Linked DNA regions of Ovis aries. The protein of the gene in region 3 interacts with the protein of the main gene of each other region in a pairwise test. Links are inferred from orthologs where the notes say so. Each region holds a gene or a part of one and is shown on either strand. Other genes may lie near its edges.

What was found.
Region 1: the proteins of FARS2 (region 3) and APPL1 interact in binary tests that used the Homo sapiens proteins (3 or more experiments, as listed by UniProt). The two-hybrid records come from large-scale screens. The link is inferred for Ovis aries from reciprocal best matches to the Homo sapiens genes FARS2 and APPL1.
Region 2: the proteins of FARS2 (region 3) and RCBTB2 interact in binary tests that used the Homo sapiens proteins (3 or more experiments, as listed by UniProt). The two-hybrid records come from large-scale screens. The link is inferred for Ovis aries from reciprocal best matches to the Homo sapiens genes FARS2 and RCBTB2.

What each region holds. Positions count from the first base shown.
Region 1 is NC_056072.1:43,947,716-43,951,371, reverse strand, and holds part of APPL1 (DCC-interacting protein 13-alpha), read left to right. Parts: intron 1-120; coding exon 121-303; intron 304-1,660; coding exon 1,661-1,713; intron 1,714-2,284; exon of another isoform or gene 2,285-2,299; coding exon 2,300-2,474; exon of another isoform or gene 2,475-2,501; intron 2,502-2,573; coding exon 2,574-2,610; intron 2,611-3,453; coding exon 3,454-3,600; intron 3,601-3,656. UniProt on the Homo sapiens protein: Multifunctional adapter protein that binds to various membrane receptors, nuclear factors and signaling proteins to regulate many processes, such as cell proliferation, immune response, endosomal trafficking and cell metabolism.
Region 2 is NC_056063.1:18,580,086-18,583,088, reverse strand, and holds the end of RCBTB2 (RCC1 and BTB domain-containing protein 2), read left to right. Parts: intron 1-1,112; coding exon 1,113-1,253; 3' UTR 1,254-2,366; downstream 2,367-3,003.
Region 3 is NC_056073.1:48,397,975-48,401,630, reverse strand, and holds part of FARS2 (phenylalanine--tRNA ligase, mitochondrial), read left to right. Parts: intron 1-459; coding exon 460-620; intron 621-3,656. UniProt on the Homo sapiens protein: Is responsible for the charging of tRNA(Phe) with phenylalanine in mitochondrial translation.

The DNA.
Region 1 (3,656 bases), on a different chromosome or scaffold from region 3:
TATTTATTAAAATTTGTTCTTATCACTTTATAAAAATTATATATTTTTTCTCATGGTTTCAGTGTTTAATTTGCAAGAAAAAACTAAATGCAATGCCTTCTTGTTTTCTTCTCTGCTTAGACAATCTCGGCCACCCACAGCTCGAACCAGCAGTTCAGGATCCTTAGGATCTGAGTCCACAAATTTGGCTGCCCTCTCTCTAGATTCTCTTGTTGCCCCAGATACCCCTATACAGTTTGACATTATTTCTCCTGTGTGTGAAGATCAGTCTGGCCAGGCAAAAGCCTCTGGCCAGGGAGGCAGGTGAGTGATAGGTCTGTAAAGCTGTAAGGCTTATGAGTCCAGTTCTACAGTTGAGAGCCATCTCTCACATATCTTGTGCATCAGCTATGTTTTTCTTTCTGTAATTACCTACCAGAATTTTGATAGTTGAAGAGGAATCATGAAGGCTTTTCTCTGTTTTTGCCTCAGTTAAATGAGTTCAGATAATTTAGTTTTAGAAATATTCAATTCTGAATGGTTTATCAGATCTACTTCTAAGGTATTTACTCTTAAAATTACAGAAGAAAGGTGACAGTCCTGTGACAATAAAGTTGATATCATGACAATATTTTAATATATAAGAGTAATATATATGTGCCATAGGTTTATTGGAAAATGTTATCTTGTGTTAGAATAAGAAATCTCCAGCAAGGTACTAAGACATTGTCATGCTATGAATTATTAATGAATTATCTTTATTTATATAATGATAAATCCTTGTCAAAGTCATTAAAATTTTTCTTTGATTATGGATGAGGGAAATATGGCTTCAGGCAAATCGTTTATTAAGTAGGTTGGACACTTAATAAGTTGATAATGTAGTAACTGGGTATACATGAGTGAGGCAAAGAAAGAATAATTTACATTTGATCATAGGAAAATACTTAGCATTTGATATAATAGGTCAGATACATATTAGGGAGGTCAATTTTATGTTATCTGAAAGCCAGTGTTATCTTAGAACCACTTAGCTCTCTGTTTGCTTATAAATCCTACTTTGGATTGTACTTTTCTTCCTTTATTGTGGGTGTGTCATGAGCCAAGCACACTTAGGAAGGAAGTTGCTTCCATCTCTGGTTAGTTGGTTCTTCTTGCATTCTGTTACGTGTGCCTTGAGAAATCAGGTCTAATTCTAGAAAATGTTCAAATTATTGTAGTTAATTTGCGTCACATACTTAGAGGACCTAAAAGGTTTTTTGTGTTTTTTTTTTTTCCCCCACAATCCAAGGAAATTCCTACATTTTTCTCATATAACTAAAGTTGAAGCTAAATTAGCCATTTCTCTGTCCTAGTTTATTTAAATTCAGGAACTTTTGCAACATAGTTTATTATAATGTTGATTTTTATGTTTGTGGCTAAACATCCTGTCTGTCTACATTTTCTGAGATATAGCAACTTTGAGTTCAGCCGATTAGTGTGAGGGCAGGGGCCTTCGTAACAAGTAAGTTGGTCATCAGTAGTGTTCCTTAACAAGAAGGGATATTTTTGAGCTTTAAAAAAATGTGTGTACAAGGTTTTCTGACTTTAGTTTTTAATTCTGGGTTCAGTGATTGAGATTGGTTCCCTGTGGCTCATGGTGACTGACCACTGGATCATAATTTTTTAAAATACTTTTCAGGCGTACAAATCCATTTGGAGAATCTGGAGGAGGTACAAAGTCTGAAACTGAAGGTAAAATAAGTGTAGTGTTCTTATATTTCAGAGATTCTCAGAGCAGTAAACTGAGAGAAGAATTTGTTGTTTACATTTGTTCTGCTGTGTGTTTTAACCGTATCTTTCCTTCAGTTTTTTCTTTTTACTCCTAGTGCACTTAAAGCAACAGAACTTACTCAGACTTAAGATTTCGTTATTCACACAAAATTATAGAATCTCATACTTTCGACCTCATAGTCAGGTTCTCATTGTGTAAGATATCCTTTGACCTTCCTAACAGCTGTTTTCTTCTGGTTCTGGAGCATAATTTTTTTTTTTCTTTTTCCCATACTTATTTACTTTGATATAATTTCAAACTAACAGTAAAGCTGTCAGAATAGTAAAAGGAATTCTTTTAACTCAGAACCACCAGTTGCTGAAGCATAATCTTTTGCTCTTGGAATTTGAGATCTTACTTTTTCTGTAACATGAACACTGTAGTTAGGAGTTATTTCTGAGTGCTTCAGAATATTTCACTGGAAAACCTAAAGAGGGCAGTGTATTTAATTCCATAGGAAAAGAATGTGGGATTTAAAATTACATAATGTACCTTGTTTTGTTGTAGAGTCTATTCTTCATCAGTTGTTTATTGTCCGATTCCTTGGTTCTATGGAGGTGAAATCAGATGACAATCCAGATGTTGTTTATGAAACAATGCGCCAAATTTTAGCTGCCCGGGCCATCCATAACATCTTTCGTATGACAGAATCACATTTATTAGTCACTTGTGATTGTTTAAAGTAAGTAGTAACCTGTCCCTCAAAAAACTGTGGGAAAAAATATTTATATAATTGTAGCATAATTAACATTTTTTCCCTAAATTTTATTTATTATTATAGGTTAATTGATCCACAGACACAAGTTACAAGGCTCACGGTGAGTTCTGCATGTTTAAAGCTTTAAGTCTTTTTGTACATATACACATCTTACACATCTGATAATCGTGACTGAATATTTGGATATGGAAGCATGAATTATGATTGATTTTTAGGTGGCTATAATTGAGTTTATGGCCATCTCTCCAAAAAAAGTTGTAACATCCCATGTAGTTGAAAGAATCAGTGCAGTCTGATGTGATATTTAGTATTCATATTTATCCGTCAGTTAGGGAGCATATAGCATACCCTAAAGAAGGTAGCTCAGATAGTAAAGCGTCTGCCTACAGTGCAGGAGACCCTGGTTTGATTCCTGGATCAGGAAGATCCCTTGGTCAGAAAGATCCCCCGAGAAGGAACTGGCAACCCACTCCAGTATCCTTGCCTGGAAAATCCCATGGACAGAGCAGCCTAGTGGGCTACAGTCCATGGGGTCACAAAGAGTTGGACATGACTGAGTGACTAACAAAGAAACTAACAAATTAAGGAATTAAAAGGCCAACATGGTTGAGTTTATTTTATAATTATCTATTTTGAAATAGCTGCAGGTGTGTGCTTATTTAATCATTTAATAACAGAGATCATATTTGTTACTGAATTTGACTTTGTAAAATGTGTTAATGACTAATAAATTCAGTATTCAACAACCTTTTAACGTTCCTGGCAATCCAAACCAAATGTGAGATTGTTTGTTCTTGGATTACCATTCCGTTAAGAAAAATGATTGACTCTAATGTTCTGTTTATGTTATTTAATAACTAAGTACATGCATTTGTCATATATAGAAGCGCTGTTACAATGATCTGAAAAAATCTCACGTTTGCTTCTGATGTTTTCTGTGCAGTTTCCATTACCCAGTGTAGTTCTGTATGCTACACATCAGGAAAATAAGAGGCTTTTTGGATTTGTTCTTCGGACATCAGGAGGGAGAAGTGAAAGTAACTTGTCATCAGTCTGTTACATATTTGAATCAAACAACGAGGGTGAAAAGGTACGTGGCTTTTCAAAATGTGTTTCTATTATAAAATATGTGTCAAAGTTCTTACT
Region 2 (3,003 bases), on a different chromosome or scaffold from region 3:
ACTCGAGGGTACAAGAAGTGAACAAAACAGACCAAAAGCTCTGCCCTCATGGAACTTTCTGGTGGTGAGGGCAGTAGATAAACTAATACAATATGTGTTCTGTTAGGTGGTGATAAGTGATATAAAAAAGTTAGGGAAGGGCAGTGGGAGGAGGGAGGCCAGACTGAGATGAAATCTGAAGGTTTCGATTGTGGTCGAGGAAGGAAGGGAGGTCTCACCAAGGAGAGCCGAGCACAGCCATGAAGGAGACACTGGAGGCTATGCAGGCCAGGGCCCAAGGCCCTGGGTCTCCACAGGCCGGCCTGCCTCGCGCTCTCAGTTCTCTGGGGCCAGAAGTGTGTCCAGCCGCCTGATTTCTGAGTCTCAAGTTTGCAGATCTTATCAAGGGAATCACTATGGGACTTTTTTTTTTTGGCCTGGCGTACATTACAGTAAGCCAGAAATCACCAAACTGGAGTTTCTCTCAGCAGAAAGTTGTGATTTCTTCCAAGCACTTTCCCACTTCAGAGTACTGAAGCTCTGTATGATCCGATGAAGCCTAACCATCCCAGCCTTGTCTTCTTGTGAAGGAGAAGAGAGCAGTGGTCTGTTCATGACTTCAGAGAAGCAGTTCCCCAGATGACTCTTTCATAGCATAAGCTTTCCTCACAAATTCTTTACAGGTAGAACTATTTAAGCCCCATAAGAATATAAAAGAGGAGTGTTGGGCTGAACATAAAGAAAATCTCTTAATCAATTTACTCTATGCATTCACACAATAAAGAAATATTTATTACACAAACAAAAAAGAGTGTTGTACTCTGAATAAGTAGTGAAAGAGGAATGAACAATGCCCATCAGTGCCTATCTCTGGGAAGAAAAAGTCTCAACTTTTTTGCATTGGTTACTGTGGATGAACTTGAATGCTTTCCTGTTATTTACATTTTTACAAGCATAGACTCATATCAGCTGTATAGTTTTACAGCTATTCTTTAGGTACCGCTGTCCCAGCAATTCTTTCTGTTGGCCATCAAATCTTCTTTCCTCACCTGTGTGTTTTAGGAATTTTTGTGCTATGTTGCATTGCATCAGGGTATGCGAATTTGCTAAAACGTTTCTGTTGTCGTCCCTAGGACTTAGAAGAATTCTGCTTCAGGTTTTGCATAAACCATTTGACTGTAGTAACACAGACTTCGGGCTTTGCAGAAATGGACCATGATCTCTTGAAGAACTTCATCAGCAAAGCAAGCAGAGTTGGAGCCTTTAAAAACTGACCCTCACCTGCAGGAAAGAATTTCTAGTGTTTCCACTCTCCCTGCAACAGCCAGAGAATAACTTCTCCTTAATAGTGTTGATGATGAGCTACATTTGGGCTGAAAATGTTCTGTCAAAACAAGGGGATGGTGGTGAGTCTTCCCCACCTTCTGAAATCCACTGTCTACAAGAGAAGGCATTAAGTGCTCTGTTCAGATGGAACTAAGCTCAAGGGGAAAAAAATTGAAATGTCTTACTGTATTTACCATTTCCTCTTACGAGTCACTTAAGTTGGAGACTTTTGGTACAGGGGTCTAAGTGTATGCTATTCTGGCCAAATTTGCATATTCAACAGGCTGGTACCACACGGATAAGCTTGACCAGGAATGCTGTCACTAGCTCACTTTCAGCATCCAGCACAGTGCCTTGCATATAGTAGGCACTCAACTTATTATCAGTTTTAATCATGCCTGAACAGCTTTTTATTTATGGGACACTGGATGAAGGAATAACTTAGGTAAAACAAATGTAAAACAACTGAGTTTCCTATTCTTATGGTACATTGTTCTGAGGAATAGTGGCTAATTTAGAGCATTAATTAGAATTCACAAAAGGCCTTGGCAGTTAAATTGTTGAAGATCCAAGGGCTAATTTTAATTGTTTTACTCTGAGTCATTATTTCTCATATGAAATCACTGAGTATGAAATACTTTGAGTGAGTGTTATTCCTGGGCTCATTTGCCTTACATAATTGCATAATGTCCTTTTACTTTTGTGTTAAGAGATTTGCCTCCATAAGTAAAAATGGTTTTCTCTTGTAGTTGATTTTTATGTCACCACAAAACAGGTCTTTTAACTTGGCCCAGTGTGATGATAAAAGTAGCAGCCAAAAAGGAACTAATACATTTCATGGGCAGCACTAGCAAGAATGAGGTAAATTTATACTTTTTCAATCAAGTTACCCAGCTGCGAATGAGAAACTGGAACAGGATGTAGGCTGCAGCGTCAGGCTCCTAATGTGTATTTCCCAACAAGATACTACTATGCGAAGAAACCTCTTTTGGAATTAGAAACCTTGTTCTGATGCTGAACTGTTTGATAATAAAGTGCTCATTTGTAGGTAACAGAACAAATGTGTTTTTTTAATTCATCAGAAGCAGCAAGATTCTACCAACCTTATGTCTCTCAGATACACATGGGTTGTTTCATACAAGCTAATTTTTTAAAGCAGTCACTCAGATAAGGCATCATAGCAAAGCCTACCCTAAAACATAGATGACTTCTAAACAGTTTAATTACTATTCATCCACTTACCTACAAGTGAATGGTCTTTACTGGTGAGGTCACTTGAATCCTTGTTTTTGTTGATCTGTTTTTGCAGACCTGGTCTGGTAGAGGCCAAGGAGTCCAGATGTCTCTAACTAAGTCAGAATCCCATTTTTGGAACTACACAGTTTGGGTTATTTTAAAACAGCCTCACCCCATGTGTCTGAATGTTCTGGTAGGTTTACTGTCTCTCCAGCAAAGAAACATCGAGGCTTGGGTGTTACCAGCCAGCTTCAGTTCTCACAGTCAGATGTCCACAGGCTTCATTCACTTCTGACTTCTCCTCACCCTGCTATGCTTGCTGTCACTGACCAAAAGCCTTTGTATTTTACAATGTCTTCCCGAACCTTCTCTTCCTCTTTCTTGCCCTTTTCGGGCAGTCTTCTGAAGTTCCTCAGTGCCTTTTTCTTTTATGAACTCATTTCATGGAAACATGGGACCACC
Region 3 (3,656 bases):
TCTTTCAGCTGCAGGTGCTGGGCTCAGATGGTTGGTTTTATCTAAAATTTTTATAATAAAATATAAAGGATTTAATAATTAAGGAAAAAGTCTAACTCACAGAGCAACATTAATATTCCACCTATCTTTATTATTTTTTATTTGCAAAGACAGTTCAGAAACATGTTTTAAACATATTTAAAAACTATTAACCTTAACAATCTTTGAACATCACATTTTATTATTATTATTTTTTTACATCACAACCCTTATTTGTCCCTATATTGAAGAGTGGTATCATAGTTCATACCCATGTTCAGATAGGCATTTTTTATAAGCTGGTGATAAACATTCACTGTGTAAATGCACCTTGCCTCTGGTCGGCACCCGCTGAGGTCCTGTCCGGGTGTTAGGAGTGGGATGGACCTGTGGCCCCTCGTGCCCTTTAACCCTCTTTCTGGTCTCCCCTCCCCGCTGCAGCTGGAGCTCAGGACCGGATCGGCTGGGCCTTCGGGCTGGGGCTGGAGCGGGTGGCCATGATCCTCTACGACATCCCCGACATCCGCCTCTTCTGGAGCGAGGATGAGCGCTTCCTGAAGCAGTTCCGAGTGCAGGACATCAACCAGAAGGTGACGTTCCAGGTGAGTGACGGCGGGAGTCCCGTGAGCACGAGTAACAGGGTCACATGCTGTAAAGAGGATCAGTGATTTAAAGGCAATGTGGCCTTGCAGAGCGCTTTCAGTAGAGATTCATAAGCACACAGGAGATCCATGGACCTTCTAAAAGTATATACTGATAAAAGGAGATTTATCAAGCCTGTTAGTCTAAGCAGGGAACCAACTTTGGGCTTCTTTAATGTCTGTTCTTCATGAAATATCCATCTTTATCACTGATGATACTTTCACAGTTCAGTTTTTTGGTTTTTTTTTTTATGCTAATCTAGACACATTGACTTTCTTATGATTAGTGTTTGCAATGTGCATTTTTTTCATCATTTTATTTTCAGTTTCTGTCTTTATATTAAAAGCACGTCTCTTGTAAACAGCTGGGTCTTTTTGTAAACCTGCATTTAATTGGGGTGTTGACTCTTTGTTACACTCAATATATTACATGGGATATTCTTGGGGTTAATTTTTACTATATCTTTCATTCTCATCTATTTTCCTTTTCTGTTCTTTTTCTTTATTTGGAAATTGAGATTTTGTGCGGGGGGTTGTTTGTATTATATTTTATTACTCTATTGCTGTTTAGTTTCTCAATTTTATATTATTTTTAAGTGGTTATTCTAGATTACAGTATGCATAATTAATTCATCACACTTTACCATGAGTAACCAGGGTATTAAAACTCCATGAAACATTTAATGTTACAATACTGTAATTCTATTTACTCTTTCTTTCTCTTGTATTATTACTATCATATTTTATTCCTCTGTATATTATAATCCCACAATACATTGCTCTGTTTGCTTCGAATAGCCATTGTCCTTCAGAGGAAGTTAAGACTGCATCTTTCTTGATATTTGCCCATTCCTCGCTGCCCTTCATGGTTTTTCATAACCATTTTCTGTAAGTCTGAAGGACTTCCTTTACCGTTTCCCGTGGTGCAGCGTGAGTTTTCCCGGCTTCTGTTTGGAAATGCCTCTGTTTCGTCTTTGTTTTATATTAGTGATATTTTCCATGGACATAGGCGTCCAGGTTGCCAGTAATGGTGCATGCTTTATTTTTTCCTCTTAGTTCTTTAAAATGTGTCATTTCGTTGCCCCTGTCTTTTCACTTTGGGTTTTGGTGGGTTGACCTGTGTGTGACCTTCTGTCTATTATCTTCCTTGGGGCTTCAGTGTGTTGAATTAGTGCTTTTCAACCCTTTTTGAAAAGCCTCACATCTCTTCCAACAATTCTTTCTTTCTTGCTTTTCAGACTGTGACTACGTGTGTATCAGCGCATTTGGGTTTGTGCCACAGAACTCTGGTGCCCAGGGTGTGCTTTTTATTACTGACTTTTTTCCCCCACTGTGTGCTTTATCGTGGGGAGTTTTTCTCGTCTTTTCTTTGGGTTTCCTCGTCTTCTCTATTGTGTCCACGTAACCACTAAGCCCCTCCAGCGAGTTTTCATTCCAGCTTTGCACTCATCACTTCTCCGGTTTCTACTTGCATCCTTGCGACTGATGAGATGCTCCATCCCTTCATCCACTTTGTACAGTTTCCCTTAAGCTCTCTGGGCTGCTCGTGACCGTGACGCTTAAGTCTTGGTCTGTTATTTCCAGGCTCTCAGTGCTCTGTGCCCCTTTTAGTCTCCTTTCTTCTTAGTTATGGGTCACATTTTGCTGCTTCTTCACTCCTCTTAGTTGTTAAGTGTTGGCAACATGTATCCTCAGGAAGCCTTACCCTCTCCTTGGGCAGGCAGCAAAGGCAGCGAAGCCGGGTCGCTTCGTCACAACCAGGAGTCGAACTGGATTTTGCGTCTCCTTAAGTTTGTGTAAGAAGCTTAACTTCTGGCGGAGGAGGGTGGGGCAGTTAGGATTTGATAGTGGAGACAGTAGGTCTCTGTAAAATGCCTTGTGAATTATAGATCACAGAGAGCTACTTCCTAATGACTCCCTTATAATTAGTATCTATTGACTACATTGTGTCAGTTTCCCGTGGCTAATGTTACAAATTACCACAAAGCTAGCAGGTTCAACCCATATGTCTCTCTTACTTTAAAGCCCTGGAGGTCAGGAATTCACAGTCAGTCTGCAGGGCTCAGGCTCAGGGGCAGCGGGGCCGGCCCCGGGGGCTCCAGCAGAGACCCTCGCCTCCTCCTGCCTGGGTCAGCTTCCGGGCTGACTGCGGTCCTTGACCCCTGACTGCATCGCACCGCGTCCCCCCTTTCCTTCCCCGTGTGGCCGCTCTGCCTTCCCTCTGCGCATTTGTCTCTTGTCACAAGTCCCCTTGAGACGGGCTTATCTCCACCCACTAAGATGTTTTCTCCGTCACATCCGTGAAGCAGTCTCTGAGTGTCAGGTAACAGATCCACGGGCTCCTCGGATGAGGAAGTGGACATCTTTGGGGGCCGTTATTCAGCCCATCACATACACTTTGGTTTTTTTAAACAAAGCGTTCTTTGTTTGCTTGGCTGCGCCGGGCCTTAGTTGTGGCACGTGGGGTCTCCAGCTGTGGCGTGTGAACTCTAGCTCCCTGACCAGGGATTGAACCCGGGCCCCCCTCGCTCGGGAGCGCAGAGTATTAGCCACTGGGCTACCAGGGAAGTTCTGCATATACCTTTATCTGTTCCATTTCCATCACGGCAAATTGCTTGCTTCAGATAGGATAGAGGAGATTTTGTTGTTTGCTGTAAGTAATATGAAAGTGTGAGCAGTTTCTGACCATTTGTGTGGAGTGGTCGTGGGTCTATACATGAAGGAAACAGGGACTCCTCTGTCACTGACTGACGTTGGCCTGTCCGAGGAAGAACACGTAACATGATTACGAACGATGGTGAGGCTGAGCCTGAAGGCACGACGCGTTGGCCGCCGCCAGCCATTCAGTGACGGTGAGACGGTGGGTCTCCTGTCGCCCATCGTCTCTGAGGTCGGTCGTAGTTAGACTCCTGGGAAGCCGGCGGTCGGGCGGTGGTCTCCCTGGGGTACCAGGCATCAGCTGCAAGTGCTGCTCTGGGAGGACGGGGAGTTTCTTAC